Elephas maximus indicus: one gene and its partners. The protein of the gene in region 3 interacts with the protein of the main gene of each other region in a biochemical or structural test. Links are inferred from orthologs where the notes say so. Each region holds a gene or a part of one and is shown on either strand. Other genes may lie near its edges.

The links.
Region 1: the proteins of ESR1 (region 3) and SMARCE1 form a complex in vitro, tested with the Homo sapiens proteins (3 studies listed by BioGRID). The link is inferred for Elephas maximus indicus from reciprocal best matches to the Homo sapiens genes ESR1 and SMARCE1.
Region 2: the proteins of ESR1 (region 3) and RELA form a complex in vitro, tested with the Homo sapiens proteins (3 studies listed by BioGRID and IntAct). The link is inferred for Elephas maximus indicus from reciprocal best matches to the Homo sapiens genes ESR1 and RELA.
Region 4: the proteins of ESR1 (region 3) and CREBBP form a complex in vitro, tested with the Homo sapiens proteins (2 studies listed by BioGRID). The link is inferred for Elephas maximus indicus from reciprocal best matches to the Homo sapiens genes ESR1 and CREBBP.

What each region holds. Positions count from the first base shown.
Region 1 is NC_064837.1:47,751,767-47,759,324, reverse strand, and holds the start of SMARCE1 (SWI/SNF-related matrix-associated actin-dependent regulator of chromatin subfamily E member 1), read left to right. Parts: upstream 1-4,543; 5' UTR 4,544-4,598; coding exon 4,599-4,725; intron 4,726-6,681; exon of another isoform or gene 6,682-6,727; coding exon of another isoform or gene 6,728-6,734; intron 6,735-6,907; coding exon 6,908-6,951; intron 6,952-7,558. UniProt on the Homo sapiens protein: Involved in transcriptional activation and repression of select genes by chromatin remodeling (alteration of DNA-nucleosome topology).
Region 2 is NC_064825.1:128,815,181-128,822,881, reverse strand, and holds the start of RELA (transcription factor p65), read left to right. Parts: upstream 1-4,698; 5' UTR 4,699-4,819; coding exon 4,820-4,826; intron 4,827-5,435; coding exon 5,436-5,462; intron 5,463-5,558; coding exon 5,559-5,710; intron 5,711-5,877; coding exon 5,878-6,026; intron 6,027-7,166; coding exon 7,167-7,258; intron 7,259-7,606; coding exon 7,607-7,701. UniProt on the Homo sapiens protein: NF-kappa-B is a pleiotropic transcription factor present in almost all cell types and is the endpoint of a series of signal transduction events that are initiated by a vast array of stimuli related to many biological processes such as inflammation, immunity, differentiation, cell growth, tumorigenesis and apoptosis.
Region 3 is NC_064819.1:223,110,040-223,117,284, reverse strand, and holds the start of ESR1 (estrogen receptor), read right to left. Parts: upstream 3,002-7,245; 5' UTR 2,486-3,001; intron 1-2,485.
Region 4 is NC_064830.1:61,817,211-61,824,785, reverse strand, and holds the start of CREBBP (CREB-binding protein), read left to right. Parts: upstream 1-4,568; 5' UTR 4,569-4,753; coding exon 4,754-4,838; intron 4,839-7,575. Other genes in the region: uncharacterized protein LOC126087487, read right to left, coding at 3,410-3,988. UniProt on the Homo sapiens protein: Acetylates histones, giving a specific tag for transcriptional activation. Mediates acetylation of histone H3 at 'Lys-18' and 'Lys-27' (H3K18ac and H3K27ac, respectively).

The DNA of each region.
Region 1 (7,558 bases), on a different chromosome or scaffold from region 3:
CATCTATTTCAAAAACTTTTTCATCACCCCAAACAGAAACTCCATACCCTTTAAGAAATAATAACTCTCCCTTCTCCCACCCCTTCTGATCTACTTTCTGTCTCTATTAATTTGCCTATTTTAGATATTTAAGTAGAATCATATATAATATTTGTCCTTTGGTGTCCTTTGGTTTATTTCACCAAGCATGATGTTTTCAAGGTTCATCCACGTATCAGCGCTTCATTCCTTTTTATGGATGAACTATGTTCCACTGTATGGATATACCACATTTTGTTTATCCATTCACATGTTGATGCACACTTGGGTTGTTTCTACCTTTTGGCTACTGTGAATAATGCTGCAATGAGTACTGATGTACCTGTACCTGTTTGAGTAGCTGCTTTCAATTCTTTTGGGTAAATACCTAGGAATGGAATTGCTGGGTTACATGGTAGTTCTATGTTTAACTTTTGGAAGACCTGCCAAATTATTTTCCACAGGGACTGCTTTTTACATTCCCACCAGCAATGGATGGGCTCAAGCATAACAATGATTATGACGATGGCACAGGACCAAGCAGTGTGTCTTTCTGTTGTACACAGGGTCACTATGAGTTGGAACTGACTGGATAGCACCTGACAATAACACAAGAACCAGCCACGAACAAGTGTTCCAATTTCTCCACAACCTTATCGACACTTGACATTTTCTGATTTTTTTAAATAAGAGCCATCGTAGTGGATATGAAGTAGTATACCTCATTGTGGTTTTGATTTGCAATTCCCTAATGACTAATGATGTTAAGCATCTTTTCATGTGGTTATTGGCCACTTATATCTTCGTTGGTTGTTGGTGAAATATCTGTTCAAGTCCTTTGCTCATTTTTTCATTGGACTGTTTGTCCTTTTACTGTTGAGTTGTAATTGCTTATATATTCTGAACATTAAACCCTTATCAGATATATGATTTCCAAATGTTTCCCATTCTATAGGTTGTCTTCTCACTTTCTTGATGTCTTTTTCTAATTTTTATTGTGCTTTAAGCGAAAGTTTACAGATCAAGTCAGTCTCTTACACAAAAACACATATATGCCTTGCTACACACTCCCAATTACTCTCCCCCAATAAGACAGCCTGCTCTCTCCCTCCGCTCTCTCTTTTCGTGTCCATTTCACCAGCTTCTAACCCCCTCCACCCTCTCATCTCCCCTCCAGGCAGGAGATGCCAACATAGTCTCAAGTGTCCACCTGATCCAAGAAGCTGTCTCCTCACCAGCATCCCTCTCCAACCCATTGTCCAGTCCAATCCATGTCTGAAGAGTTGGCTTCGGGAATGGTTCCTGTCCTGGGCCAACAGAAGGTCTGGGGGCCATGACCACCGGGGTCCTTCTAGTCTCAGTCAGACCATTAAGTCTGATCTTATGAGAATTTGGGGTCTGCATCCCACTGCTCTCCTGCTCCCTCAGGGGTTCTCTGTTGTGTTCCCTGTCAGGGAAGTCATCGGTTGTAGCCAGGCACCATCTAGTTCTTCTGGTCTCAGGCTGATGTAGTCTCTGGTTCATGTGGCCCTTTCTGTCTCTTGGGCTTGTAATGGCCTTGTGTCCTTGGTGTTCTTCATTCTCCTTTGATCCAGGTGGGTTGAGACCAATTGATGCATCTTATATGGCTGCTTGCTAGTGTTTAAGACCCCAGACGCCACTCTTCAAACTGGGATGCAGAATGTTTTCTTAATAGGTTTTATTATGCCAATTGACTTAGATGTCCCCTGAAACCATAGTCCCCAGACCCCTGCCCCTGCTACGCTGGCCTTCGAAGCATTCAGTTTATTCAGGAAACTTCTTTGCTTTTGGTTTAGCCTGATTGTGCTGACCTCCCCTGTATTGTGTGCTGTCTTTCCCTTCACCTAAAGTAGTTCTTATCTACTATCTAATCGGTGAATGCACCTCTCCCACCCTCCCTCCCTCCCCCTCTTGTAACCACAAAAGAATGTTTTCTTCTCAGTTTAAACTACTTCTCAAGTTCTTATAACAGTGGTCTTATACAATATTTGTCCCTTTGCAACTGACTAATTTTACTCAGCATAATGCCTTCCAGGTTCCTCCATGTTATGAAATGTTTCACAGATTCCTCACTGTTCTTTATTGATGCGTAGTATCTTCTTGATGTCTTTGGATGTGCAAAAGTTTTTTTATCTTGATCAAGTCCAACTTATCTATTCTTCTACTTTACTCTTTTATAGCTCATGCTTTTGTTATCATATCTAAGAATTCGCTGTCAAATACAAGGTCTTGAAGATTTACCCCTATGTTTCTTCTAAGAGTTCTATGGTTTTAGCACTCACAATTTGGACGTTGATCCCTTTTTGAGTTAATTTTTGAATATGGTAAGCGGCAGGGGTCCAACTTTATTCTTTTGCTTGTGGAAATCCATTTGTTGAGGAGATTATTCTTTTTTCATTGAAAAACAGACTTGCACTCTGTCAAAAATCATTTGGTCATGGATGCATGAGTTTATTTTTAGACTTTCAACTCTATTCCATTGGTCTATATGTCTACCCTTGAGCCAGTACCACATCATTTTGATTATTGTAGCTTTGTAGTAAGTTTTAAAATCAGGAAGTGTGAGTCCTCCTATTTTGTTCTACAAGTTGCAATTTTAAATAGGTCAGGAAAGACCTTCTGAGAAGTTGGCAGACTGAATAAAGACTAGAAGGAGGTAAGAAACCATACCAGTCAATGTCACTGCTTCACCTTTCCCTTTTCATCATTTTTGTGCCACAACTCTCCCATTACAGTGTGGTTTTCCTAATATCTTGTACCTGTGGTTTTTCTTCAGAGGACTGCCTGGAGATGACACAATAGACCACGTGTCCTTGCACACACTTGACCAATCCCCCGCCCCCCAACCATAACCCTAAAGGCAGTGCAGAAATCAGGCTAGAGTTGCTTGACAAAGCCAAAGAGGTACGGGATCCCTGAGGAGGCCTTCCTGTATTTCACATTAATCCTTTACATGTTTCTGATACTTTTATATTAAAACAACAATTTCATGTACATTATTTTAACCACCACTCGAACTGCCTGTTATCCTTTGGCAATCTTTCCTTTAATCTTTCCCATCAATATGCTCTTCAATTTCATTAATCCCCATTCACGAGTACAAAAATATTGACTTTGCCTCCTTGTAGAGATACCCCATTCCCTACTGGCACACCCAGGACGGCCGAAGAGCAGCCCAAAAATTCAGTCACTCTAAATGTCAACACTATTGTCATTTAGTTGTCAGCATAGTAATAACAAGTTAGGGATCTCATTTGTTCCTTCTTCCTCCAAAGTGACCCACAACATCAGCTAGGTGTTTACATATCCAAGGAAGGGGCCGCTCACTCCACATGGTAAACCTACTTACTCGTGATTATGATTTTGTGGGAAAAGCCCAGGACTAGTTAATAAATCCGCTTCAAAACACATTTATTATGCACCTAATAACGGATCAGAAACACTGGTGGCATAGTGGTTAAGTGCTACGGCCGCTAACCAGGAGGTCGGCGGTCAGATCTACCAGGCGCTCCTTGGAAACTCTACAGGGCAGTTCTACTCTGTCCTATAGGGTCGCTAAGAGTCAGAATCAACTCGAAAGTAACGGCTTTTAATAACGGATCAAGCAATATTGCACTGGTAATACAAAGACGATCGAAACAGAAGGCTGAATCTTTATTTTCAAGGCCCTCATAATGCATCGAAGTTGACAAACACAACCTGATACAATGGGCTGAGTACAGGACTACAGTAAAGAAGTTATCAAAGTGCCATGGGAGTAGAGAGGAAGGATTATTGGAGGGAGAGCCCAGGACGGCATGAGGAACAGCCATTTGAGCTGAATTGAGAAGAACAAATGAGTTTAAGCTGAAGTGAGGGGCAGTCGTTCCCTGCGGAGGGAACCAAATGAGCCAAGGCACGCTTTGGCACAGAGACCAGTGGCACCCCGCGCGCTGCGTCAAAGGGCTTAACATCTCTGGGTCTTGTCTCAGAAAACTAGCAATTACACCATAAAAGCGCTTGAAAACGAAAACTGAAAAACTCCGTGGAAATGAGAGGCAGCGCTTTTTCGTCAAGGCTAATGCCCGGACGTTATGGCAGGAAGACCCGAGAATGCCTGTGAGGACGTAAAACTCAGTCAACAGAGTCCTCTCCGGCTCCATCCTCGGCTTGCGTAAGTATATACTCTAGCCGAAGAAGCAAGAGAAAAGAAGAGCCTATGGAGTGAGCGCTACCTGAGCCCAGCCGGGTGGTTCCGGAGCCTCACGCCCCGTCGCGATTCCCGCGGTCCTCCGACTAAGCTGAAGCCACGTTCCCCGCCTCCTCTCAGTACGGCTTCGCACCGCCCGCCGCGTCACCCGACGTTGCAGACGCTTTGATTCCTCCCAGCAGCGAAATCCGGGCCTATCCCGCGGCCGAGCCGCCTCCGCCCTTTCCGTAGTGACGAATCGGCGCCTGGCTGGGAAAGTGCCCAAATTAGAGAACTTTTGAGGAACTGTGAAGCCTTTAAAAATCAGGAATTATACTAAACATCACCAAGCCCACTATGGAAGCTTTACTTCTGTAGAGAAAAGCGGGTGATGTCTGTAAGTAAATTACGAAGAAGTGTCGAAAGTGCGAGTACGGAAGCTCGGCGCGCGAGGGGCGGGGCGTGTGCGGGACAAAGGGAAGCGAAGCTGAAGCTGCGGGCGCTCTGCTTGCCCGCGGGTGAGTGTTTTGGAGCGGGCCCGACCGGGTTGGGAGGGTGGCGAGCTGTGATGTCCCCGCTTGGCTGGACCCCGACTTCCCAGGGGTTACCCGGGTTTAGGTTTGGCAGCGGAGCCAGAGGTGGGGCCGGTTGCGTCCACTCTGAGGCCTAGCGGTGTGAGGATTGGTAAGGAGTCCCGTCTGTGGGTTCTCCTCAGCGGCAGCATTTGCCCTGTCCAGTAGCCCTCAGGAATTGACCAGAGCACTTACGCATACACCCCTTTAGTTGAGTTGCTGGTAAAGTGCATTTTCCCCGACAAACAAAGGAAACGACTTCACAGGAAGCTCTCGGAGCAAACCGTGCCCCTGGTCCTCACTCCCAGGAGTGTGGTTCCTCTTGGTCCAGGCAACGACGTGGTAATTTACGGTGTGGCTTGGAGTGAAGAGCGAAGGCTCTGAAACAGTTTGGCCTGGGTTTGAAACCCAACTCGAGTACTTCCTGGCTGTGTGGCTTTTGACAAGTTACCTAAATTCCCTAAGAGTCCCTTTTTTTTTTTTTAATTTGTAAAATAGGGATAGCAATGAACGTTTCGTAAGGTAGTTGTAGCTATTAAACAGGAGAGCGTAGATGATAAGCTTATCCCTTATGAGGCATTCATTCAACAAATACTGAGTATTACGTGCCAGACCCTGGGATTGAATCCAGTGGCAAACAAATGTACAAGCCCACTCTTAAAATTTGTAGCCTAGTAGGGGAGATAAATAATTGCAAAGCATTAACAATAAAGTGATGTACAAGCAGTTTGTGGCAGTTGTCATTAGGGCTCCCCGGAACAAGGCCTACTGGGTGTTGACAGCTCCCTGAATGTGAGCAGGAGGGAAGTCTGGACCAATAGTTTCTGCCTGTTTTTTAAGGAAAGAGAGAGAGCCAGGAGGGGCCATTGATAGAATAAGCTATTTCCATCCACATCAGGCCTCTTATTTCTTGTACTCTAGGGAATTCCCCTAAAATGCAAACTAGGACCAAAAAATCATGTTTGTTTAATATAACGTTTGGATGAAAGTGCACCAGTAGACATAGAAGTTTATTTGCCTTTTTTTTCTAAAAATGAACTTTTCGTCTCTTTGTACTCTACTCTTTGCGATGTGTACTGACGTAAGGAACCAGCCCACATGTATATGGTTGTGTTGTGAGCTGGTAATCCCAAACAGCACATAATCTGGTCATATTGACAAATAAAAAGTGAGATAGAATAAACAATATCAGAGATTTATGTAAATTTGCCAGGAATACTGAGGAGGGTGCAATTAACTCTGCCCAGGTAACTTACTTGGAAGGCTCCATTGAGGAGTTAAATCTTGAAAATGGCTCTGAAGGACGAATAAGAGTTTTTCAGGTAGACTTTCAAAATTTATTCTCAGCAGTTATGAAGCTATTTGCCACTATGAGAGAATGCTACAGCTCATTATCATACCAATTACCTTTTGCACAGCCTCCAGGAATAAAATACAGTGCTATTTTATTGGAAGTTTGTTACCTAAGCAAAGGTAGAGCTCTGATAAGGAAGCTGTCAGTATCTGCTAGGCCTTGTTGGGGTGGGCCCAGATAATACATCACATTCTATTGTCATCTTTTTATCAGATTGTTTACATAGCATCAGCAAAATGTTTTCCATACAAAAGGTGGCTCAGTGTCATTAAAAAAAAAAAAAGCCTAAGGGTACATGTCTAATATTACTCTTAATGTCCCTAGTGATTTGCTTTAGTCATTTAACTCTGATCAACCAAATGATCAACAATAACTAGTAAAAACGATACACAAAAGGCTTGATTACTAGCAGATAAAGAGAACTAATTTTACTCTGAAATACCAATTAAACTACCCTATTTTTTAGGAAAACATTCTCTTATGCTTGCTGAGTTTTGATTCTCTTTTTTTTTTTCTTTTTCTTTTTTTTTCTTTTTTTTTTATTTTAGTGTCTCAGATTCATTCTTAAGGAACTGAGAACTTAAATCTTCCAAAATGTCAAGTAAGTTTCATTTTTATATTTATCAATCTATGTTAATAAGAGACTAATGCCCTAGCAAATGGGAATTCCAAAATACTCTCATTTTTTTCTTCAAAACAGGACCATTGGTAGTTTTGTTGCATAGTGTTATATCTCAGTTGTTTACAAGAAGTTATTTATTTTCTTTCAAACAGAAAGACCATCTTATGCCCCACCTCCCACCCCAGCTCCTGCAACAGTAAGTTTTAATTTTCTTGTTAATGTAATAGCCAAGTCTGGCCTTGATACAAAAACCCAGATGTCTTCCAGTGACAGTCACTCAATCAACACAACAACAGTATGAGAAAGTCAGCTAAAAAAACAGCACTTCCTACTAAATAGAAAAATAACTCTTTGCATCTTACCTGGAACCAACCCCAACATTTAAAGAAACATACTACCAAAATTCTGATCTCTTATGCTCACTTTTTTTCTTCTAAACGGGAAATAAGCGACAAGTTTAACACTTCTCCCTTATTAATCTTTATTATTAAGAGTCTTTAAAGTTGATATTGAGTGAATGCTCATTCTGGCTTTTTTTTTTTTTTAAAACCTAACCTTCAATTGGTTATATTTTTCTCTCCTCTTTTGTCTATACGTAATTTTCGTATTAAATCAAACAATAAAGCTTCTAGTTCTACAATAGCACTCATTGTAAATCTTTATTTTCAAGCTGTTCAAGTAATGATTTTATAATCTCTGGGTCAGATCCTGCTATTTTATTCCACTTTATGAATAATATCTTTTTGTTTTGGGAATTGATAAGTTTCAAAATGTCTAAAGAATGAATAGTTGTGAAGTAATTT
Region 2 (7,701 bases), on a different chromosome or scaffold from region 3:
ATTATAATACGTCTTGGTGACTTTCTTTTAAAATCTACCTTATGTGGAGGTTAATGAGCATTTTGGATAGATATCTTCTCATCTTTCATGGTATCAGGGAAGTTTTCTGCCAACAATTCTCTCTGTATTTTCTTTTGTCACTCCCTGTTCTGGTACTCGTAGGTTATTTCTCTTGATAGAGTCTGACATGATTCTTAGGGTTTCTTCATTTTTTTTTTTTAATTCTTTTATCTAATTTTTCTTCAAATATATTGGTGCCAAGTGCTTTATCTTCAATCTCACCAGCTCTGCCTTCCACTTGCTCAATTCTGCTCCTCTGACCTTCTATTGAGTTGTCTAATTCTGTAATTTTATTGCTAATCTTCTGAATTTCTGATTGCTCTCTCCCTATGGATTCTTGCAGCTTATTAAATTTTTCATTATATTCTTGAATAACCTTTTTAATTTCTTCAACTGCTTAATCTGTGTGTTCCTTGACTTGTTCTGCATATTGCCTGATCTCCTTCCTAATCTCGCTCGTGATGTCTTGAGGAGTTCTGTATATTAATCTTTTGTATTCCTCATCTGGCAATTCCAGGAAGGCACCTACATCCAGAAGATCCCCTGATTCTTTGTTTTGAGAGCTTGTTGAAGTGATCATGGTCTGCTTCTTTATGTGATTTGATATTTACTTTTGTCTCCAAGCCATCCGTAAGTTATTTTATTATGTATTATGTAAGTTATGTTTGCTTACTGTATCCTAGTTCTTGCTTTTTTTTTTTTTTTTGATATGCCCAAATAGGTTGCTTGAGTGAGCTAGCTTGATTATTTTCATCTTTTAAGCTCTAATGTCCTGTTACCAAGTGGCTAGAGCTGTTATCAAGTATATCAGCCTAGGAATCCATTCACTTTTTTTGAATGAATTCAGCTCAGGTGTCCAGGTAGTTGGTCATCAAGTGTGTGGTACAGGCTCTCTCTTACAGTCTTAGAGTGCAGAGGTGATTGGTATAGGTACCAGTATCTGGTTGCAGCAGGGGGGGTCACACTCTGAACAAGGCAGAGGGCGAGAACCACCCCCCGAGTGTCTGTGAGGAAAACACACCCCTGTTCCCTACGGTGCACAGGTGGGTGGATTCTGCAGATGGACCACAGGCACCCGGTGTTTTGGTTGTAAGGACTGGGAGGTACCAGTTGTCCTTGGACCCCTGTCATGGATGGCTGGGTGACCTGAGTGGAGGCATCAGTCCTTATGCCCCTGATGTGGGTAGGTGAGGACCCTGTTTAATAGGCAAAACTGGGTCAAACATCAAACAGACCCCTCTCCCCTGCACAGCTGAAACAGTTGCAGTCTGCCAACAAGGGTCTATTCTCCTGAAATAGGCCCACACAGGTCCATGCAGGGGTGAAAGGTATTCAAAATCCATGGACCATTTATGCCTGGGCAGGAGCCACTTCTGTCCTGAGCTCCTCAGGTTAGTGCAGCTGACAAATTATCTTTTCCCTCAAGTGTGAATTTATTCCTTCTCCAAGGCCAAGAGAATGGCTCGGAGCACTCAGCAGGACCTATCTCAGGCCCAGGGAAATCGACAGCCACTGAAGGGGGCTTGGAGCACAGTAAAATACACACAAGTACTTAGTTTTTGCCAAGAGCGCCATTCTTCTCTGGTTCCAGAGGTGTGAGTAGGCTGTGCAGCTGGCTGTTTCTCCCTGAGGAAACCGTGGCCAAAGGCTACCGCCAGCCCACAGCAGTTGTTCCCGGGAATGGTGCCTGGTGGATCCTGGCAATTCAGGTCTGGCAACTCCTCTCCACTTCTGAACTGTCTCTCCATCCCCTGCCACTCAGTCTGTTTTCTAACTTTGCCTTGTTGTTCAGGGCTCCTAGCTTGTCATAAGTATAATCATCTCACTTGTTTTTTCAGGTCTTTGTTGTAACAGGGATCACTGGAAGCATCTGGCTACTCTGCCACCTTGGCCCCACCTCCTAGAAGCTGCTTTTTGACGCGAGAATAGTTCTCTCCTGCAGATCACCTTTGAGTTACAACTCTATTACCAGTGCTTGTCAGAGACTCCACATGGCATCTTTATCTTGCACAGATACCTCTAGCACTATGGCATCTGTTGAGTCACAAGGCCCACGTGGCGGGGATTCTTGTATGTCGCCAGAACATGTTGTAGAGCTTTCTCTTGCTCTGGGCCCTATTCAAATCTGACAGCCTTCAAGTTGCTCAGTAAATGGGTCAGATCAGAATTTCCACGGTATGTGCTGGCACTAAGTCCCCAAAAATCTACCAGACATTGTGCTTCTTTTCCAGTGGGAGGAGATGCAAGGTACAATAACTGAGTGTAGTCCATTGCACGTCTATACCACAATGTGTTTATCCACTCTCTTGTTGATGGACATTTAGGTAATTTACACCTTTTTCATATTGTGAAAAAAGTTATAAGCATCTTTGTACTTTTGTGGACACATTTTTTTTTAATTTATCTTGAGAAATTGCTGAGCCATAGGGTGAACAGAGATTTAACTTTACAAGACAGTGCCAAACAGTTCCCCAGAGTTTGCACCATTTATGCTTTCACCTGTAAGAGTTCCAGTTGCTCCACATCCTCTTCATCCTTTGGTGCTTTAGTCTTTTTTATTCTAGTTCTATGAAGTGGCTTCTCATTATAGTTTCAATCTGTATTTCCTTAGTGACTATTGATGAATACTTTACACATGTTAAAAAAAAAAAAAGCCACTTGCCATTGAGTCAATTCTGACTCATACTGACTTCATGTGTGTATGGTAGAGCTCCACTCCACAGGGTTTTCAAAGCTGTGACCTTTTGGAAGATTGTCAGAGCTTTCTTCTGAGGCATGAGCTGGTTGGAGCCAACAACCTTTTGGTTAGTAGCAGAGAGCTTATTGTGCCACCCAGGGACTCCTTTACTGACCACTTATTTGTACAGTAAAACCTGTGAAAGCTGGAACCTGTGTAAGGCAAAAACCTGTCAGAGAAGGAAAACTCAAATATTTTCCACTAAAACAAGTGATAGAAAAGTGGTAAGACTGCACCCGGGCAAAGGAGGAAAGCTTGCCAGATCTGGAAAAACGAGACAGTCTCGTCAAGTTCTGGCTCTCACAGGTTTCACTGTGTATCTTCCTTTGTGAAGTTTATGTTAAAGTTTTTTTGTATATTTTATTGGATTATCTTTTTATTGTTGATTTGTAGCAGACCTTTATATATCCTGGATAGAGGTATTTTGTCAGATATGTGTTGTAAACATTTTTTTCTGTGGCCTATCTAATCATTTTATCCATGAGTTCCAGAAAGCATATGAAAAGCATGGAGGAGAGATAATACAGTAACAGAAAATGGATAAGAATTTTTCACAACTCACGAAAAACATCAACCCACAGATCCAGGAAACACAATTTGTCTCAAGGAAGTTAATATATATAAAAGAGGATCATGTATGGACTAATCATGGTTGTACATCATTTTGCAAAGATTTTCAATAATCCATTCTTTCGACTTGAAGTCAGCTTCCTCCAAAAAAGTGAGTAGACTTTTCTAACTAGGTCCCCAGGAGAAACTGAAATGAGTGGGAGGGATGGTAACTTGTTTTCACTTTTCTCTTCCTGTTTTTTCAGAGCCTGGGAAAGCTAATCAGAATTTCCAGTCTTTTCCAATTCCCAAATGATTTCTTAATTTAAAACGAATTCCAAGAAAACAAAACTCTCTCCATGTGGAGAAGACTCCGCACCCCACCACGGACCATCATTCTAGAAAGAGGCAGTCTGGGGTAAGGGGTTGCCCAGCTCCAGTCCGTTACCCCCACCCGGCACGCATACGCCTTGGGCTTGGGGGCGATACCGGCGCCGAGGCGTCTCTAGACGCCGCGGTTAATGAATGGAAGCGCCCCACCGATGGCTGTGGCTGGACGTTAGCTGGAGACCCTGGGGGGGGGGGTCGGGCGGGGGACGTGTCCCCGTGGGTTCGAGCGGATCCTTGCAAGACGCAGGCGCCCTGCCATCCAGACGAGGATCACAACTGTACCCCTGAGCGTCCCTTGCCACCCACTGCTTCAGTCCGGCTGCATCCCAAACCAGCCCTTTAGCGGAGAGGTTCCGAGCCCTGGTCTCACTCGACCCGGCCCGCCGGCGTCAGGGACGCGGGCCTGAGCCTCGGCCACCCCTCTTTGCGGCAAGCTCCGCGAAGCTCCACTGTCAGATGTGGGGCCAGGGCGCTCTCTTGCCCCCCAACGGCATCTGACTGAGGTGAACAGGATATTAACAAGAGCTTCTGAAGCAACTACCATCAAAAGGCACCTTTACCGATGATGACAAAACCCGGGTCGAGTGCAGCCGCCCGGCCCTCTCGGGCGCCGCCAGCCCGGGCCTTCCCCGGCGCGGGCGGGCGGCCGCAGCCCAGCGGCCCTGGCTTCGCTCCAGACGGGACCTGGGTGACATCACCAACTCCTCCGATCGGCGGGAGGGGGCCCCGAAATCCCCTAAAAATATTGTGAGTAATCGCCGGGCCCGCCTCCAGGCGGGGCCGGACCTCGGGAGCGAGCGGAGCCGCCGCGCAGCGCCGGGAGCAGCTCTAGGCGGACGGCCTTCTCGTCCGTGCGCGGCGCGCGCTCGTTCCCGGCCCCAGCGGCGCGCGAGGCCTCCTGGGCCCCCAGCAGCGCGCACTCGCTCCCGGCGGCGGCGGCGCAGCGCGCAGGCGCAGCCGGGTTCCGGGCAGTGACGCGGTGTCGGGCGCGCGCGGCGCATTTCCGCCTCTGGCGAATGGCTCGGCTGTAGCGCGCGCTGCGGGCCCAGCTGCGACCCCGGCCCCGCCCCCGGGACCCCGGCCATGGAAGGTGAGGGCGCTCTCGGATCCCGGGGGGTGGCCGCGCGGGGCCACCGAGGCCGTGGCGGGAGCCCTCGCACGCCTTCCGCCCCTTCCTGCGCTGGCGGGTGCTGCGCAGGGAGCGGCCGAGCCGGATGGTGGCGCGGGGCGGGGCAGGCGGCGAGGGGTCTGACTCAGTTTCCCCTCGGGGTGGAAGGGGACCTTGACTCAGTTTCCTCCCTGGGTGGGGGTGCGAGTCAGACCCTGACTCAGTTTCCCTCCGTGGTCCATGGGGGTAACTCTAACTTTGTTTCCCTGTTAGGGGAACGTGTGCCTGAGTCGATTTCTCCTCAGCATAGGAGATGGGGAGAAACCTCCCTCAGCTCTCTTTATGAAACTAGAGAGGGTCCTGACTCAGTTTCCCTAAGTAAAGGGAGGAAGGACACCAGATCCAGTTTTCCCGTAGGAAACAGGTGTTTCTGGCTCCGTTACCCCACCCCTTAGCTTCACTGCAGGTTTGAGGAGCAGGCCCTGATTTAGTTTCCTTTGGTGGGCGCTTGGCTCCATATTCTCTTGGCGGGGATGGGGTCCAGAGGATGGACAGTGGCTTATGCTGACTCTTGGCCCCCTCGTCTTCCAGATCTGTTCCCTCTCATCTTCCCTTCGGGTAAGTGGACTGTCCTCCGTCAGTGGCTCGGGTGGATCTCCCCACAGCTGGGGCAGTGGGGCAGCCGCTAATAAGGGCTCACCATGTCCCCTGCAGAGCCGGCCCAGGCCACCGGCCCCTATGTGGAGATCATCGAGCAGCCCAAGCAGCGGGGCATGCGTTTCCGCTACAAGTGCGAGGGCCGCTCAGCGGGCAGCATCCCAGGCGAGAGGAGCACCGATACCACCAAGACCCACCCCACCATTAAGGTCAGCACTGCGTCACCAGCTCTCAGGGGTAGGCTGGGGGTATGGAGTGGTGGGGGAGTGGCCTGTTGAGCCCTGGCAGGCTTGCCTCCAGGTCACTATGCCCTCTGTGTCTGGGAGTCGGCTTTGGAATTCTTGGGCCTCTAGGGTGTTCTCTGTACTTTGGACAGATCAATGGCTACACAGGGCCAGGGACAGTTCGCATCTCCCTCGTCACCAAGGACCCCCCTCACCGGCCTCACCCACATGAGCTCGTGGGGAAGGACTGTCGAGATGGCTTCTATGAGGCTGAGCTCTGCCCAGACCGCTGTATCCACAGGTGAGCTCCCCACAGGCCCAGGGTGGGCTGGCAGGACAGGAGGTGGGGCTAGGCACAGGAGGCAGGGCAGCTGCATCCACGTGTGAGCCCCCCACAGGCCTGGGGTGGGCTGCGGGACAGGAGGCAGGGCAGTCACAAGCTGTTACAGTGTTACTCCTTTCTGGCCACAGGGCAGAGTTCCTCACCCCTTGTCCTGGGCCCAGCTTTACAAACAGACTTCCCTAGTCTTGGAACGATCTGTTCATGGACCCCCCTCTCTAGCAGATGTGAGCTCCTTGGGGCAGGGATGGGGCCTTAATCACCTCTGGACCCCTGCACTGTGGTTGGAACGGTGAGTCCGTCAGTGCCCCATCTCTTGTGCCAAGAAAGAAAACCAAGCCAGCAGTCTCCCTTGGAGCTGACTACCTCACAGTGCTGGGCCAAGTAAATATACGGGAAAGTAAATGAGAGAATGGTGGAGTGTAATCATTTCAGTGATGAAAATAAAACCGGCTAGTAGATAGGAAGGCGCCCTGGTGGTGCAATGGTTAAGCGCTCAACTGCCAACTGAATGGTGTGTGGTTTGAACCTACCAGCCGCTCCATGGGAGAAAAACCTGGCAATCTGCCCCCGTAAAGATGTACAGCCTAGAAAACCCCATGAGGTAGTTCTACTCTGTTCTGTATGGTCACTAGGAGTCGGAATCAATTCGACGGCATACGACAACATAACAACAGTAGATTAGGAGAATAACCCAGGGCAGGGGGTCATTGCTTTGGATTGGAAGCTCCGGGAAGCCCTTGCTCAGCTACGACTTCTATGGTGAGAAATAGAGAAGCAGGGAAAGGATGTTCCAAGCGGAAAGAACAAATACAAAGGCTCAGAACTGGGAATGAGTTTAGCGTCTTAAAAAAAATCAGCTGCTTAGGAGCAGAAAAAAAGCCCATGGGGCTGGAGGAAGCTGGCAAGGGCCTGGTCATCCAGCGCTTCTCAGCCAGGGTCAGGAATCGGGGTTTCATTGCAGCCCAGTGGGGAGCCACTGGGATGGTTAAGCAGAGGGCGATGATAGGGGATGGAGAGGGAGGGAGGAAGGGCAAATTGGGCAAGGCAGGAGGGCCCAGGCTCTGCTGGAGACAGCATACTGACGCCCGGAGGCCTCAGCTTCCAGAACCTGGGGATCCAGTGTGTAAAGAAGCGGGACCTGGAGCAGGCCATCAGTCAGCGCATCCAGACCAACAACAACCCCTTCCAAGGTGAGAGGTTGGGGGGCGAAGGCCTGGCCTGCCTGGTACACCCTCATCTCTGTCACCCTCCTGAGGCCACCTTTCCTGTGTCTTCCTCATTGACCAAGAATCACAGCACAGACAGGATTCTCATTCAGTACAGACTCCCACTTACCACTGAGGAAACAGTCCCAGACAGGACACGACGTCCAGGGTCATAGGTGGAGTCTGTGATGGGTCTAGAATCTTGTCTTTTTCCTTTTTGAGGATGCCGTCTATTGTTTCCCATGTTCTCAATCAGCCTTCCCAGCCCAGCGCTCCCTGCCTGTGCCCCTGCCCCCACTCTCCTGACCGCCTGTCCATCTGGCTCTCTTGCAGTCCCCATAGAGGAGCAGCGTGGGGACTACGACCTGAATGCTGTGCGGCTCTGCTTCCAGGTGACGGTGCGCGACCCGTCAGGCAGGCCCCTCCGC
Region 3 (7,245 bases):
TGGAACAATAATGTTGACTCCCTGGGGTGGTTGTGAGGGTGAAATGTGATAATTACCTATAAAAAAGCACTGGACAAAGTAAGAGCTCCCTAAATGTTCAGTATTAATATTGCTATTACTACTCCCTGATTGGCACTAAATCTATGTTACCGCTAGTGGAAAAGAGACTGTCTCAGGTCTTAGGCATCACACTGAATTAAAAGTTCACATACAACTCTGCATGCCTGGGGGAAAGCATTACCTAACAGAGAAGCAAAATGCTTCTTTTGATGTATAAATGAAGGTGACACACCTTTTCTACGTTTTTTGACATGCTCTCCTCATAAGAATGTGGCTATCCTCACAGTCACGAAGGAGAAGAAACATGGAGGGAAGGATGCTGGAAGTTTCTGTACTCTCTCTTCCAACACTTTATGCCCATTTCAAAAGCAACAACATTTCAGCCAGTGGCATACTCAGCTGGGTGGATTTCCAACCCTTTTTTTTTTTTTTTTTCCCCAGGTCTAGTTACCAGTTATAGTCAGATGGATAAAAGCTCCTAGCAGCTACAGTGCTGACCATGAGTTTCATTCATTCATCAGCCAACATGTATTAAATACTGTATCAGGCACCGTAGTAGGGCTGGAATAAAAATGGCATCCTCATTTGAGTTTCTAGCCCTTGAAGAAGATTGCAAGAGTGGTTTAATGAGTGGCTTGATCTCATTTATTCCATACAATTCCATCTGGCGGCTACACTTACTATCCTTACTTTGTAGATGAGGAATTTGAGGCCAGAGGTGAAATAATTTGTCCTGACTCACACAGCTAGAAAGCGGTGGGGAGTTCTGGTTTGGATTGAGCCCTGTTGGATTCCAAAGCCCTAGTTGTCCCCTGTGAATTTGAATGGAACTATTTAATGTCTGACTCCTCAGCAAAGGGTTATTCACCGTGGAAGGTCTGAGCAGAAGTCTAAGCTTTCTAGCAAAGTAAAAGATAGCTATTTGAAATAAAAGATGGTTGTTTGACTTTGTTCTTGCTGCAACTTTAAGACATGAGAGCTTTCCATGACTTTCCAAGAGTGATGAAATAAAACAAATATTTCCAACTGTCTAAGAAAAATATCTTGCTAATAAATATGACTTTTGTATTTGTATTCAAAATGTAGCTTTTTTTTCCTTACATGAGATGCTTCCGATACCTAAATTATTTGTTACTGCTAATTTCTTTGAAAATCTAACAACTTCTACCATATTAGATCCAGGCATTTCAAGGCCTAGTGGACGGTCTTCAAGGAATATTCGCAAAATCGGAGCAAACATTGGCTTTGGAGAAACAGAAAGAAATTTTATAGAGTAGAAGATCTGGGAAGTTCTCAACCAACTCCACTTCTTTCATTTCTCTGTGCATTTTACGATTCAGTTCGAAGGCCTCTAATTCACAAGTTCACTGACAACATGGAAATATAAAGACATCTATATCAAGTTCAAAACCAGAGGAATTTCCCAGCCACTACATGCTGGGAGTCACTGTGCCCGTCTATTAGATCCGGCCCATAAAGCTGTTAAAAATCTGGCACCTTTGTACGGGAATCTGTGCCATGATTCTAAGTTCTGATAAAACCCAAACCATACAGTTAGTGCAAAAAAAAAAAAAAAAAAAAAGTTCGCTTCTATGGGCTTGTCCGAGAACAAAAACTTGTCACCTTCTAGACAAAGCATGAAGCTTAGAACTTAACGCACATTTCCTGAAATGTGTCGTATCCCTCTAGCCAAAACGAAAGTAGTCTGTCCTGGCTTTTGTGCCTGCCACATCGCGGCGCAAGGAACTCCTGCTCATGCGGAGACGCTCCAGTACACACCATCCTGCAAAAGGTGACCGATGGTCTGTCACGTCAGAGAAGGCTGAGGTTGCAGGACTCAAAAGGACTGGCCTCAAACCATAGGGCGCTTTAAAGACAGGGTGTCACCTTGTGTTGCAAGATTGTGAAGCTTGTCAGAAAACTCCACTGCTTTCAGGAAGCAAATAACGGCTTATTCAGCCTGCTTGGTTCACACTCCCATGAGTTACAGTACCCAAGATTAAGAAAACAGGTCGTATGCTCCTGCTAGCCTGTGAGCAGACAAATCAAGAACTTGTAAGTTTCCGACACGCTTCCCAGATCCAGAACCTCATCACTAGAGCAGGATCCAATAAATATTCGTTATCTGGGGCGGGCGGGCAGCCTGTCAGCGCTGCGCTCGGAAAACGGTAACTGCAGCTCTCTGACTCAGCCGAATGTTACTCCAAAAGTGGATTTCCACTGTACCGAGCTTCCATTTCACATTTTTCCATGGTAGCAAGGCTTGCCAGCGACTTTGCAAAATACCCCCGGAGCATTCAGAGAAAAACGAACATCTTTTAATGTGAGAGGTAGGCTCTAAAGTTACATCACGCTTGTAAACAGTAGCAGACATAGCAAAAAAAAAAAAAAAGGAAAGAAATTGAGAAGAAAACAGAATACCTACTTGTAGAGAAGAAAGTCACTCAGACAGTGTCCTCTGATGCTATAGAAAGGGCAGGAGAAAGGAGTGGGACCCTTTCAAGCCCGGTGAGGAGCTTCTGAGCCTGGAGTCTGCATTTTCAGTTGGGGGGAGAGCCGTTCTGAGCCTGTACACAGGCTGCTACGACCATGAAATTAGGAAATGCAGCCACTCAAAAATAAAGAACTAGCACCACCATTTGACTAGGATTGGAAAATCGCCTTGGAGAAAGAGAAGAGGGGGGTGGCCGCCTTTCTCCAAGCCAGGCCTGATTCAAACTTCTTAGCTCTTTGGTTAAGACAGATCTTTAATGAGGAATAAGTAATGTGTTAATCTGCCTGAAACATATTTTTATGTAATCCAGCCTATTTCTTCTTTGTTTCTGATAAACCTTGGAGCCAAGACAAGCGTGTGTAGTTGGAAAAAAATAAGTAAATAAAGCAGGTATTCAGCACATAAAGTGTGTTAATTCAAAATTAATTACAGCGAAAACCGGGGGTGAGGACGCGTCTTGGGCGAGTTTTTTTTGGGGGGGGGGTGGTTTCCACGTTCTCATGCAGCCATTGCCTCACCAGCCGGCTCTGCACTTCTCGTCACTGATTAATTCGGTTCTTAACTTTAATAACCTGCACAGGTTTACCTTCTGCCTGGCTTTTGAGCCCCTCCTGCTGTCACATGATCTTATGTCCTAAACTGTCCGGCATTTCCGGCAACAGATTAAGGGTTTGCTTGTTATTTTTTTTCCCTCTCTCTGTCTTTTTACACTGAGATAAAATCCTGAAATCGAAAATGAGCTTTAAAAAAATCATATTGAAATTTTAAAAAATAATATTGGGATTTTAATCATTTATAGTCAGCTCGTGGTCTATGCAGCATGTAGTTTAAAGGATTTTTAAAAGTTGATTCACTTTTTCTACTTTACAAGCCTGGAGAAAGGCTGGTTTTCTGGAAATGAGAATGCCGGGGGGGAGAAAGGAGGGGCAGGAGTCCCTTGCTATTGAGCTTCCTAAAATCTCTAAATGCAAATGGCCATCTGCTGGGTAAGAGGTGAGACTCAAAACTGGCTTGGGAAAAAGAAAACCAAAACTATCATAATCACTTGATTATACGTCAATTCTATCTCAGTGAAACTGTTCAAAAAATAAAACCTTGCCTAACTCAAATCATTGTCTCTCTCTCCCTCTCTGTGTGTATGTGTTTAATAAATGGATAAATAGGATAACTGAGAAAGGAGTCAAACAGACCTTATTTGGTTTAGCTACACCCGCACTGTTAGGAACTATCTTATGCAATTCATTCACGCGCATACACACACATACAAATAACCCATCCCAGGTGATTGGCACGAGATGTGTCCCCTTGAAAACATTCTGAAATACATGTTCTTAACTGTCTTCAAGTAATCTTCTCTATACTTGTGAGGTAGACCATAGATAGAACAGCTTGAATATACAGATTTTCCTAAGATAATTTCCCTGGAACATAGAGCGTGAGACATTTTAGCTAATATGTAAAATATTTCATTTTGATTTAACAACCACAAAAGTTCAACGATTCACTAACAAAGAGTCACATTGACTAATACATTCTGGAGGTCTTATTAGATTGTATCACTTTTATTATGATTTCTGATGAAAGGTAAATAATTTAATAAATGTTTTGAACAGTTTAAACTTTTTGAAAGCAAAATATCTTTTAATTAAATCCCTCAATTATTATATTTGCCAGAATGGGTGAACTACACTTTGCAAACAGCATCTAGCTATTTGTTAAAAATCAGTGGTACACATCAGTACAGAGAAGAAAATTACTGAGAGCAACAGTTCTCAAAATAGGACATCCACTGGATTCTGAACTGAAGGTTAAGATTATTTCCTCTTTACTGGAAAATGTAAATTTAAGCATAATATAAATTATGAATTAGAGTGATTACCCTTAAAAGAACATTACTATCATTCATTTGCATTCCAATATGTGCATTCTCCAGAGAGAGAATAAAAATAATAGCAAATTGGGTGCATACTAGGGGCCAACTACTAGTCTAAGCACTTTCACAACAACCCAATGAGGTAGGTACTATCACAAACCCATTTTACAGATGAGAAAACCTTGGGATGCTGAGATTAAGTACCTGTATGAAGATTTCACAGCTGGAGCCAGGATTCAACCTCAGGTGGTTCAATTCAAGGACCCATGCTTTTAACACTCCACTATGGAATCAGAGGAGTTCCTGGGTAGAGCAAATGGTTAAGCACTTGGCTATTAACCATGAAGACTGGCAGTTCTAATCCACCCAGATGTGCCTCAGAAGAAAGGCCTGGCAACCCACTTACAAACGGTCACAGCCATTGAAAACCCCAGAGAGCACAGTTCTACTCTGACACACATGGGGTAGCCATGAGTTGAACTGTATGGCAACTGGGTTTTCTTTGGTTTGGTGGAATCAGAGCCAGCACACAGGGAATTGCAAATAGGAATATGCTATGGGAACACTCTTGCCTTGTAGATGACATGGGGCAAAAAAAGTTTGGAGGTTTATCTGTGAATGGGTAAGAATGGTTTTATCAGATAGATATAGAAAGGTTATTATGAATAATTTTAAAGTTTTCCGTTCTAATTGAATCACTAAAAATAAAAATATGTGCTTGGATTAACCTTGTTTTAAAATATTCTGTGCCTTCTTATAGAAAAAAGAAAAATTCCCTTTGAGGTAAAGTTTCTATTTAAATTGCATTTATCGCTATTAAACTGAATAATGACAAAACAATAAGAAACGAACAATTTAAAATAAGGCAGCATAATATAATATAATGGGAATAAACACAAGGCAAACTCAATCTCATAAATATAATTCAAAGAGAAGCGCCATGCACTTGTGCTTGGTTTCCTCATACACACTGAAAAACAAAGCCTGACATTTTATCGAATCATGCTATCTACTTCACCTTTATTTTTTTTAAAAAAAGAGGGCGAGGTTATCACACACATGCCTTTATGGTGTCATATTGTGTGTCAATTAACTTAGAGTAATGAAATCTATAAATTCTAGAATTTTTTCCAGCTTCCAAACTTTTTTTAAAAAATAAGTTTTCCCATTCTAGAAGACCACTAACATCCTGGTTTCCGCAAGCAAATAAAGCAGAAAATTGACGCAATCTGGGTCATTGAAGCAAAAAACTGTTGTGTTTTGGGTGATTCAGGCTAAAGTAAAAGAAAAGAAAATCACATTTTTGAATTGGAGAGTGTGTTTTTGTCAGACAACCAAGATGATAGCGGAGTTTGGGACTTAGTTACATAGTTAACTGCCCAAATTCTTCACTTGTCCTTATTAGCAAAGCTGTTTCCATTGGGTACTACTCAAAGCACTATCTCAATTCAATCACACCATAAAAGCAGCTCTGAGCTTCTAGTTTTCCTCATGAAGAGCAACCAAAATGGAAACTCTGCTTGCCTAGAGATAGCAATCAGTACCTGACCGCCCACTCGCTCACCTTTCTAAGAGAGATTGGCCGGTTGTCAGCTGCAGTTGCCAAGACAACCTAGTCAAATCCGTGTGACTCCCACCCCCCACTTCTGATCACAGCTAATTGGGCAGCGATGGGGACCTGGCCAAAGAGCAGCCTTCTATAGGCTGGCCAGTGACCTAGGACATGACCTAACATGAAAAGATGAACTTGGCCAATCACATTCGAGATCTCAGAGTATGACTTTGGAAACTTAGACTGAGCTCTTGAGCTGCAGAGACACAAACAGAAAAGATGTCTTGGAGTAGAGTGGAGGCCACAGTAAGCCTAGGCTATTATCAAGTGAATTTACAGGGTGAGGGGATTGTTGCAGAGAAAACCAGTAAGCAAAGGTTAGCAGATAGCAAGCCCTGGAGCCGTGGCTGCTTGGGAGGGTCTGGCTAGAGCTGCAGTGGCCACTGGCAGGGTTACAGCGAGTCCACTGCTTTCAGGCCAAACCAAACCAGGGGCCCTGGAGTACATTCCAGCTCGTGGCAACAGCGTGTGTGTCAGAGCAGAACAGTGCTTCACAGGATTTCCAATGGCTGATTTTTCAGGAGCAGATTGCCAGGCCTTTCTTTCAAGGCACCTCCGGGTGGACTCCAACCACTAAACTTTTGGTTAGCACCAAGGGCATTAACCATTTGCACCAGGGACTCCTTCAAATGTCCCGGTGTTTTAGTTATGTTCATGTTTTAGTTACGCTCTTCTGATTGCAAGGGACGAGGACTCTCTTGGGTACCTGGCAATAAAGGCTATGGAAGAATTTAGGTAAACTAAACACTCCTCCCAGATCCCAGGAGCTAATTTTTGTAGCAGAAGGCACACAGCCCAGCAGTCCTGTTGTCAACGTAGAGGTCCAGGATATTTGAAAATAGAGCCATAATATGACCAATACCCAGTGACTCATTACTGTTCTTTATTCAATATTGAAGCTCGAGTTGACATTTATAGGGATAAAGGTTTTATTCCTCAAAGAAAAAAAGTGCAACCTACCTTCAGGTAGTAGTGACAGATAATACAGTTAAAACTTAAACCTCATCTATAGAAAGACTTGAAAAACCTGCCTTCATAAATCACATCTCTTCTTTACATAGGAAAAGATATAAATCAAGCCACAAAAGTCCCATGTGAGGAAATTATTATTGAAAATTTCTATAAGATGAAAAAGTGGACTCTCTCACATTTATAGAAGTGACAAAGGAACCAACAAATGAGGGATACAATGATTTAAAATGAAAA
Region 4 (7,575 bases), on a different chromosome or scaffold from region 3:
GCTTGTTGAAGCAATCATGGTCTGCTTATTTATGTGATTTGATATTGACTGTTGTCTCTGAGCCATCTATAAGTTACTGTATTAATTAATTTTGTTTGCTTAGTGTATCCTAGCTTCTTGCTTTGTTTTGTTTTGATATGCCCAAATAGGAGGCTTGAGTGAGCTAGCTTGATTATTTTCGCCTTCAAAGCTCTAACATCCTGTCACCAGATGCCTAGGGCTGTTACCAGGTATATGAGCCTAGGAGTCAATTCACTTTTCTGGTATGGGTTCAGCTCAGGTGTCCAGATAGTTGATCATCAAGCATGTGGTACAGACTCTGTCCCACAGTCTTAGAGGGGCAAGAGTGATAGATGTAGGCACAGGTATCTGGTTGCAGGTGGGGGTCACACTCTGAACAAGGCAGGGGCCTGACAACCGTTCCCTGAGTGTTTGTGAGGAAAGCAGTTGACTGTTCCCTACAGCGCACAGGTGGGTGGGTTCTGCAGTTGGACCATGGGCATCCAATGCTTTTGGTTGTAAGGACTGGGGGGTATCACTTATCCTTGGACCCCTGTCACGGGTGGCTAGGTGATATGAGTGGAGCCACCAGTCATTAGGCCCCTGATGTGGGTAGGTGAGGACTGTGTTTAATTGGCAAAATGGTGTCAAATGTCAAAAACCCACCTTTGTACCACACAGCTGAAACAGTTGCCTATTCTCCTGAAATGGGTCCACAAAGGTCCATGCAGGGGTGAAAGGTATTCAATGCCCGTGGGCGATTTGTGCCTGCAGAGCAGCCACTTCTGTCCTGAGCTCCCCAGCTTAGTGGAGCTGGCAGATTATCTTTTCCCCCAATTGTGAATTTATTCCTTCTCCAAGGCTAGGAGAATGGCTCAGAGTGTGCAGCAGGACCTATCTCAGGCCCAGGGAAATCAACAGTCAGTGAAGCCATCTTGGGGGCTCGGGGGAGGGGGTGATAAAATAAAAGCAAGTACTTAGCTTTTGCTAAGAGTGGCGTTCTTCTCTGGTTCTGGAGGTGTGAGTAAACTGTGTGGCTCACTGTCTCTCCCGGAGGAAACCGGGTCCGGAATGCTACTGCAAGACCCGCCGTGGTCACTTCAGGGGATCGTGCCTGAGGGCTCCTGATGAGTCAGGTCCGGCAACTCCTCACTGCTTCTGAACCGTCTCTCCTTCCCCCTGATATTCAGTCCGTTTTCTAACTTTGCCTTTGATGTTCGGAGCTCCTAGCTTGTCATATTATATAATCGTTTCACTTGTTTTTTCGGGTCTTCGTTCTAAGAGGGATCATCGGAAGCATCTGACTACTCTGCCATCTTGGCCCCGCCTCCTACAGTGACTTCTTGAGTACTTCTGTTTATGATTTCTAAAATAACCAAGTACCATGGAATCAATTCTGACTCACGATGATCCCACACGTGTTAGAGTACAGCTGTGCCCCATAGGTTCAATGGCTGATTTTTCAGAAATAGATCACCAGACTTTTCTTCCAAGGAGTCCTTGGGTAGACTAGAGCTACCTTTTGATTAGCAGCTGAATGCATTAACTCTTTGCACCACTCAGGGACTTCTTATGATGTTTAGGGAATATACAGGGATTTCTTCATTTTTTGCCACAGGAGATTAATGCAGTGGAAATGCCCTCAGTAGATTCTCAAGAGATACTTGATGAATAAATAAAAACTTGAATGAATGGGAGGAAAAAAGACACAATGTGGTTATATGCCCTGAGAGAGACAGTGCTGTGAGAGACCCTACCATGGTCTAGGAGGGTGTATTAGTCTCCCGTGGCTGGTCTAACCACATGCCACAACCTTGCTTAAAACAGCAGAAATCATTCTCTCACGTATCGGGAAGCTGAAAGTCAAGATGTCGGCACAGCTGCACTCCCTCCAAAGGCTCTGGGGGAGAATCCTTTCTTGTCTCTTCCAGTTTCTTGTCTCCTCCAGCTTCTGGTGTCTCCACACGTTCCTTGGCTTGTGGTAGCATCGCTGTAATCTCTGCCTCCATCTTCACATGGCTTCTCTGTGTGTCTGTGCCTCTTATTTTCTATAAGGACACCAGTCACTGGGGTTAGGGCCCCATCCTAGTCCCAGGATGGTTCCATCTGGAGATCTTTAACTAGTCACATCTGCGAAGACCTATTTTAAATAAGATCACATTCTGAGGTTCTGGGTAGACATGAACTCTCTATAAAGGACTTCCTGGACTAGGTGACACTTGAACTGGGTCTTGGAGGATGAGTTTGTGTTGCCAGGTATATATGTTCTCAGCATAGGGAGCAGCATTTGCAGAAGTATATAGAAAGGTCCTGATGAGACCTTCCTAGTGACTAGAGTGGGGTGTGGGGCGGTGATGGTGAAGTGAGGGATGGAAAATGAGGGTGAGAGGTGCAGCACAAGATTTTGAACAATAAAGATAAATAGGAAAAAAAAAAAAACAGATCAGTCTCAACACTCAAAGACATTCACTCTTTTGGTATATCTGTGGAGCCCCTGGGTGGTACGAATGCTTAAGCATTGGACTGCTAACCACAAAGACTGGCAGTTCAAACTCATCCGGAGGCACTTCAGAAGTATGGCCTGGCCATTGGCTTCCAATAGGCCACAGACTTGGAAACTCTAAGACCAGTTCTACTCTGCACACATGGGGTCACAAGCGGTCAGAATCAACTTGAACTTCACCAACTAACAACAACATATATCTATATCACCATGAGTCACTCTACTGGGACTGGGATAGCCAAATGCATTTCTAATCTTTTTTTTTCTATGTATAGGAGCTATTTTTTTTAAAGATTTCTTTCTTATTTTCAGAAAGCTAACTCTGCTGCTCCGTGAGGAAAGGCGTAGAGCAGAGGGAATACTAAATGGGAAGCTGCCCGGTAGCGTACCTGCCCGAGCCATGCTGGACGACAGTGGGGCAGTGGAAAACGAAGCGGGACCATTTTCCCCAGGTAAAGGACATGGGGAGGCTGGCTGCGTGGTGTGTAGAGAAAGAGGGAGGAGTCGGCACTGATTCACAGGTTTCTGGCTTAGGAAACAGAGTAGCTGGTGATGTCTTTAAGATAAGCAAGTTTTGAGGAGCAGATAACGAAGTGAGATGTGAACACCTCAGGTTTTGGTGACTGTCCCTCAGGGGATGGCGACGCAAGCCGGTCTCCCCGAGGCCCCACACCTGCCTGGAGCACCTGCAGGGTGCCAGGTGGTGGCGGTGTCCTAGAGTGCCTCCTGAGGCCCTGAGCCCAGAGGGAATGGGAACTTTTCCGCTAGAGGAGCGGGCAGAGCGCGCTTGGCTCGGGGTGGAGGTGGCGCCCACCACCCTTCTCCGGCAGGTAAGGGTGTCGCACCTGGAAGCCCCGCCATGGCATCGGGCTCGGGACTCCGGAGTCTTACGTGCCCCCACCTTACCTGGAGGGTTTCGAATCCAGGCCTTGCCACTGTCTGCCTCGCCGACCTTGAATGAATTACTTTGCCCTCCCTGCCTGTTTCCCATCTGCACACGCTTGGTGGCGGACCCTGCACACTCGACGTCACAGGCACCCGGAGAGGGGCAGTGGCCCGGCCTCGGGTCCAGGTCGCCCCGGCCCTCCCCTCCGGACGTCGTCGGGGAGGGTGGCGGGCAGGGGCCCAGTGGCACCGCGGGGCCCGGGGGCGGCCCGCCCAGACGAGGCCCCGACGCCCGGGCCTCCGCCCCCGAGTCGCCGCCAAAAGCCAGGTGCCAAGTGGCCCGCAGGCCCGGCCCTGGCCCCACGGCCGGGCTAGGCATTCACAAGCTCCTCTGCCGCGCATTCGGCCCTTTCCGCCTGGGGCACTCGGCTCTTTCCGCCGTGGCGGGCGCAGGTGGAGGGGGCGGGGCGGGGCCGTGCGTGCTGACGCTTGGGAGTGACGCAAGGCGTGCCCCGCCCCCTCCCCCTCCCTGTTCTGGCTCTGGAAAGAGAAGAAAAAAAACTTTCTTTTTTTTTTAATTGAGGAATCAACAGCCGCCATCTTGTCGCGGACCCGATCGGGGCTTCGAGCGCGATCTACTCGGCCCCGCCGGTCCCGGGCCCCACAACCGCCCGCGCACCCCGCTCCGCCGGCCGGTCCGCTCCGTCCGGCCCTCGGCGCCCGCTCCGGCGGCCCCACTCGCCCCTCGGCCCGGCCTCCCGGAGCCCGGCGGCGGCGGCGGCGGCGGCGGCGGCGGCGGTGGCGGCGGCGGCGGCGGCGGCGGCGGCGGCGGCGGCGGCACGGGGGTGGGGGGGCCGCGGCGGCGGCGGCGCGGCTCCGCTCGGCGCATTGTTTTGCCTCCCGGCGGCGGCGGGCCGGGGCGGGCGCGGACCCCCGGCCCCCTCCTCGCCGTCCGCGAGTGAATCCATTAAGTGGGGCGCGGAGGGGGGGGGAGCGCGGCCGAGGAGGCGGCGGCACCATGTTCCCGGGGACCGTCTGAGCCGCCGGGCCGGCGCCGTCGCTGCCAGCCGGGCACGGGGGGCGGCCGGGCCGCCGGAGCACCCCCGCCGCGGCGTGTCGCGCTCAGGAGGCGGGCAGGGGATGAGGGGGCCGCGGGCGGCGGCGGCGGCGGCCGCGGCCGGGGGCGCTCGGTGAGCGCTGCGGGGCGCTGTTGCTGAGGCTGAGATTTGCCGCCGCCTCCCCCACCGGCCTGCGCGCCTCCTCTGGCCTCCTCGCCCGCTCCCGCCCCGCTCCCTCGGCCGCCGGCCGGCGCCCACCGACCCGCGCCCGAGCCCGTGCTGGGGCGCTCCTCGGGAGCAGGTGAAAATGGCCGAGAACTTGCTGGACGGACCGCCCAATCCGAAACGAGCCAAACTCAGCTCGCCTGGATTTTCTGCTAATGACAGCACAGGTGAGGAGGGGGCCGGGCGGACCCAGGGCGGCGGGAGCCTGACGGGGGCTGTCATCCCCACCCAAGGCGAGGGCTTCCGCGACTGAGGATCGCCCCGCGAGCGCCTGTCGGGCAGGGGTCGCCGAGACCCGACTGTGGATCGCGGCCCGAAGTGGGGCCCACGCAGCCCCCGGCCCGTGCCCCCGCCAGGGAGAGTGGAAGTTTGTGGGGGAAGACTGTCACTCGGCCCGAGTCCTGCATGCGCTGGGCTTCCTGGAGTTGGCTAGCCCCCGTCGCGTGGCAGAGGAATGAGACTTCCCGGGAGAAAAAGTAAAGTGGAGTGTGTTCATTCTGTTTGGTCACATCACACGCCTCCGACTGCGGCCATGTGTCCACACACGCGTGGCTGTCTAGAGGAATGACAGGGGAGGGAAGGTACGATTTCTGGCTACGGAAAGAAATCTCGGAGCCAGAGGGTGACTTGGTGTGTTTTCTGAATTGGTAATGTATTCACAACCCTGCAACCCCAACACGCACGCAGCCACCAGCTTGTGAGTTGCAACTTAGAAGTTTCTTGGATTATGTTTCCTGGGGAAATGTTTAGTAGTTATTTTGAAGACTCTTCTTGTCACCTAATCATCCCATTTTTCAAAACCCTGAACTCCCTTAGCAAGATGTTGTAAAGGTTGCTGTGATGTGTTTAATCTCACTTATAAAACTTAGAAAGTGAATAGATTCATTTGAGCCACAGCCTCCATTTGAGCTTGTCTTGGTTTTACAGTGTAGATGTGCAAAAAATTATGTGAAGAAATGTAGAAATTACCTTTCTTCCAGAAATGTTGGCAGAATATGGAGTAAATCGTCTTTTTTTTTTTTTTTTTCTTCTCATCAAACAGCATCCATGAAAACTTTCTTAAGTAATCCTATCAGTTGCCTAAGAAAAGCATGTTAGTTTTTGCTTCACTTAACAGTGCTGGGTTTTCTAGGCTGGTTCGTGGTAACAGTACCAGCCGGTGGCATTTCCTCTTTTAGAGCTCTCGATTCTGCAGTAAAAACTTGGGTGCAGCTGCAAGCGATTTTGGTCTCCAGCGCAATACAGTATTTGCCTTTCTCCAGTGCAGGCTTTGAGTAACAGCATCTGAAAATCAATTTATAATGAATGGGTCCAAATCGAATTGTATCGCGCTGCAGTGCCTTCAGATTTGCACTAGACACAGCTGTTTAACTTGTGGAAGTATTTCTGTGACTGTCCATTTGCGTAGACAAAAATCTAGTTCTGCTGTTGAAACAAATCTTGTGGCTTCAGTTTTAATACAATTCCTGGGATCTAGTTATGAAAAGTGGCATGTAATAATGTAGAAATGAGAGAAGCAATTTTTTAAAAAATCGGTCTTAAGTTGGTTTTCGTGTAGTTAAAATTTTGTTAAACTGGGGGCGGTGGGATACAAGTCTCAATTTATCCGAAGTGAAAAATTTGGTAACAACCATATTTTAAATGCCGTTTTGCTGCAGAACAGATATTATTTGCTTAAAACCTTGCCATATTTAAGTGAAAAGTTTTCAGTCTTAGGAAACGTAGAGATACAGCTCGTACCAGGAAAGTTGAGCTTTCAAGCTTGTCCTCTGAAACCGGGTAACTTTTGAGTGGCTGCACAGCTTTGCAGTTGTTGAATGAGGTTACCATAGGTTTTGTTTTATAAGGGAGCAAGTGATTAACTGGAGACTTAGCAAAAAGGGGTGTTGTTTCCAGCATGGACCCCAAAGGATGGCTTTTTTGAGTAGTTCTGTTAGTGGATGGCCAGATATTTAATTAAGGTGCTGTTAATCCGTGGAAATCGACTTGAAGGCACTGGGTTTGGTGTTTATTTTGGAATCCCAACATAGATTATCAGGAAGGATTCCACTTTTAACATTTTTTCTTCCTTACCATTTGAACAAACAGAGGCTCTTTTTACTTTTTCAAATGTGGAACAAAAGATTCTGTTTCTAATGGCTCCCTTTTAAATAATCCAAAGAATAAAATTAATGCTCCTACTTTAGTTTAGTCCTTGGCCACGTCCATCACGTTTTCACAGAAGGGTCTATTAGTTGGGGGAGAGGGGCAGGAGGAAGGAGTCATTGTCAAGCACATTAATTGAGGTACAACCTTGTCTCCTAGTAACGACTAGGCTAAGACACCAAGTGATGAGGTGGACAGAGATAGTAAGGCAAGTAAATGACTAAAATATGTACTGTCCACCAAATCCATCCAAAGGTTTGGGATGGGAATGTGCCCAGAGTCCTGGGAGTAGCGGTCCTGAGAGACTCAGCCTTACTTTATTGAAGGGATGTGCCTGGGAGGCTCCCAGAAAATTTGGCAGGTGGAGAAGGTATGGCACGTGATAAAATTTGTGGCAAGAGCTGAGGGGTTGGAAGGAAGAGGAGGAGGCCCAAGAAATGGGGAGAAGTAGAGTGAGTACCCTGCTGCCATGGTGTACTGCTGGTCTGTGGGGACTGGCCTCTGGAGGCAAGGTGGGCGGAGACCCAACAGTACCCCTGACCTTGGGGAGCTTCCCAGCCAGGGTCCTGCCCACAAGGTGCTTGTAGTCTGGTGGTGGGGGCATCCCAAGGAGGGAGCAGACTCCCCCTGAGAGAAAGGAGAGAAACAGACCCTAGTAAAACACCAGCTCTGGAGTGACAGAATTTGATGGCATCAGACGTTGAAGTAACTTTTTCTAGTTTTACATGGAGTGCCAAAACGCTGTCTCACACACGAAGC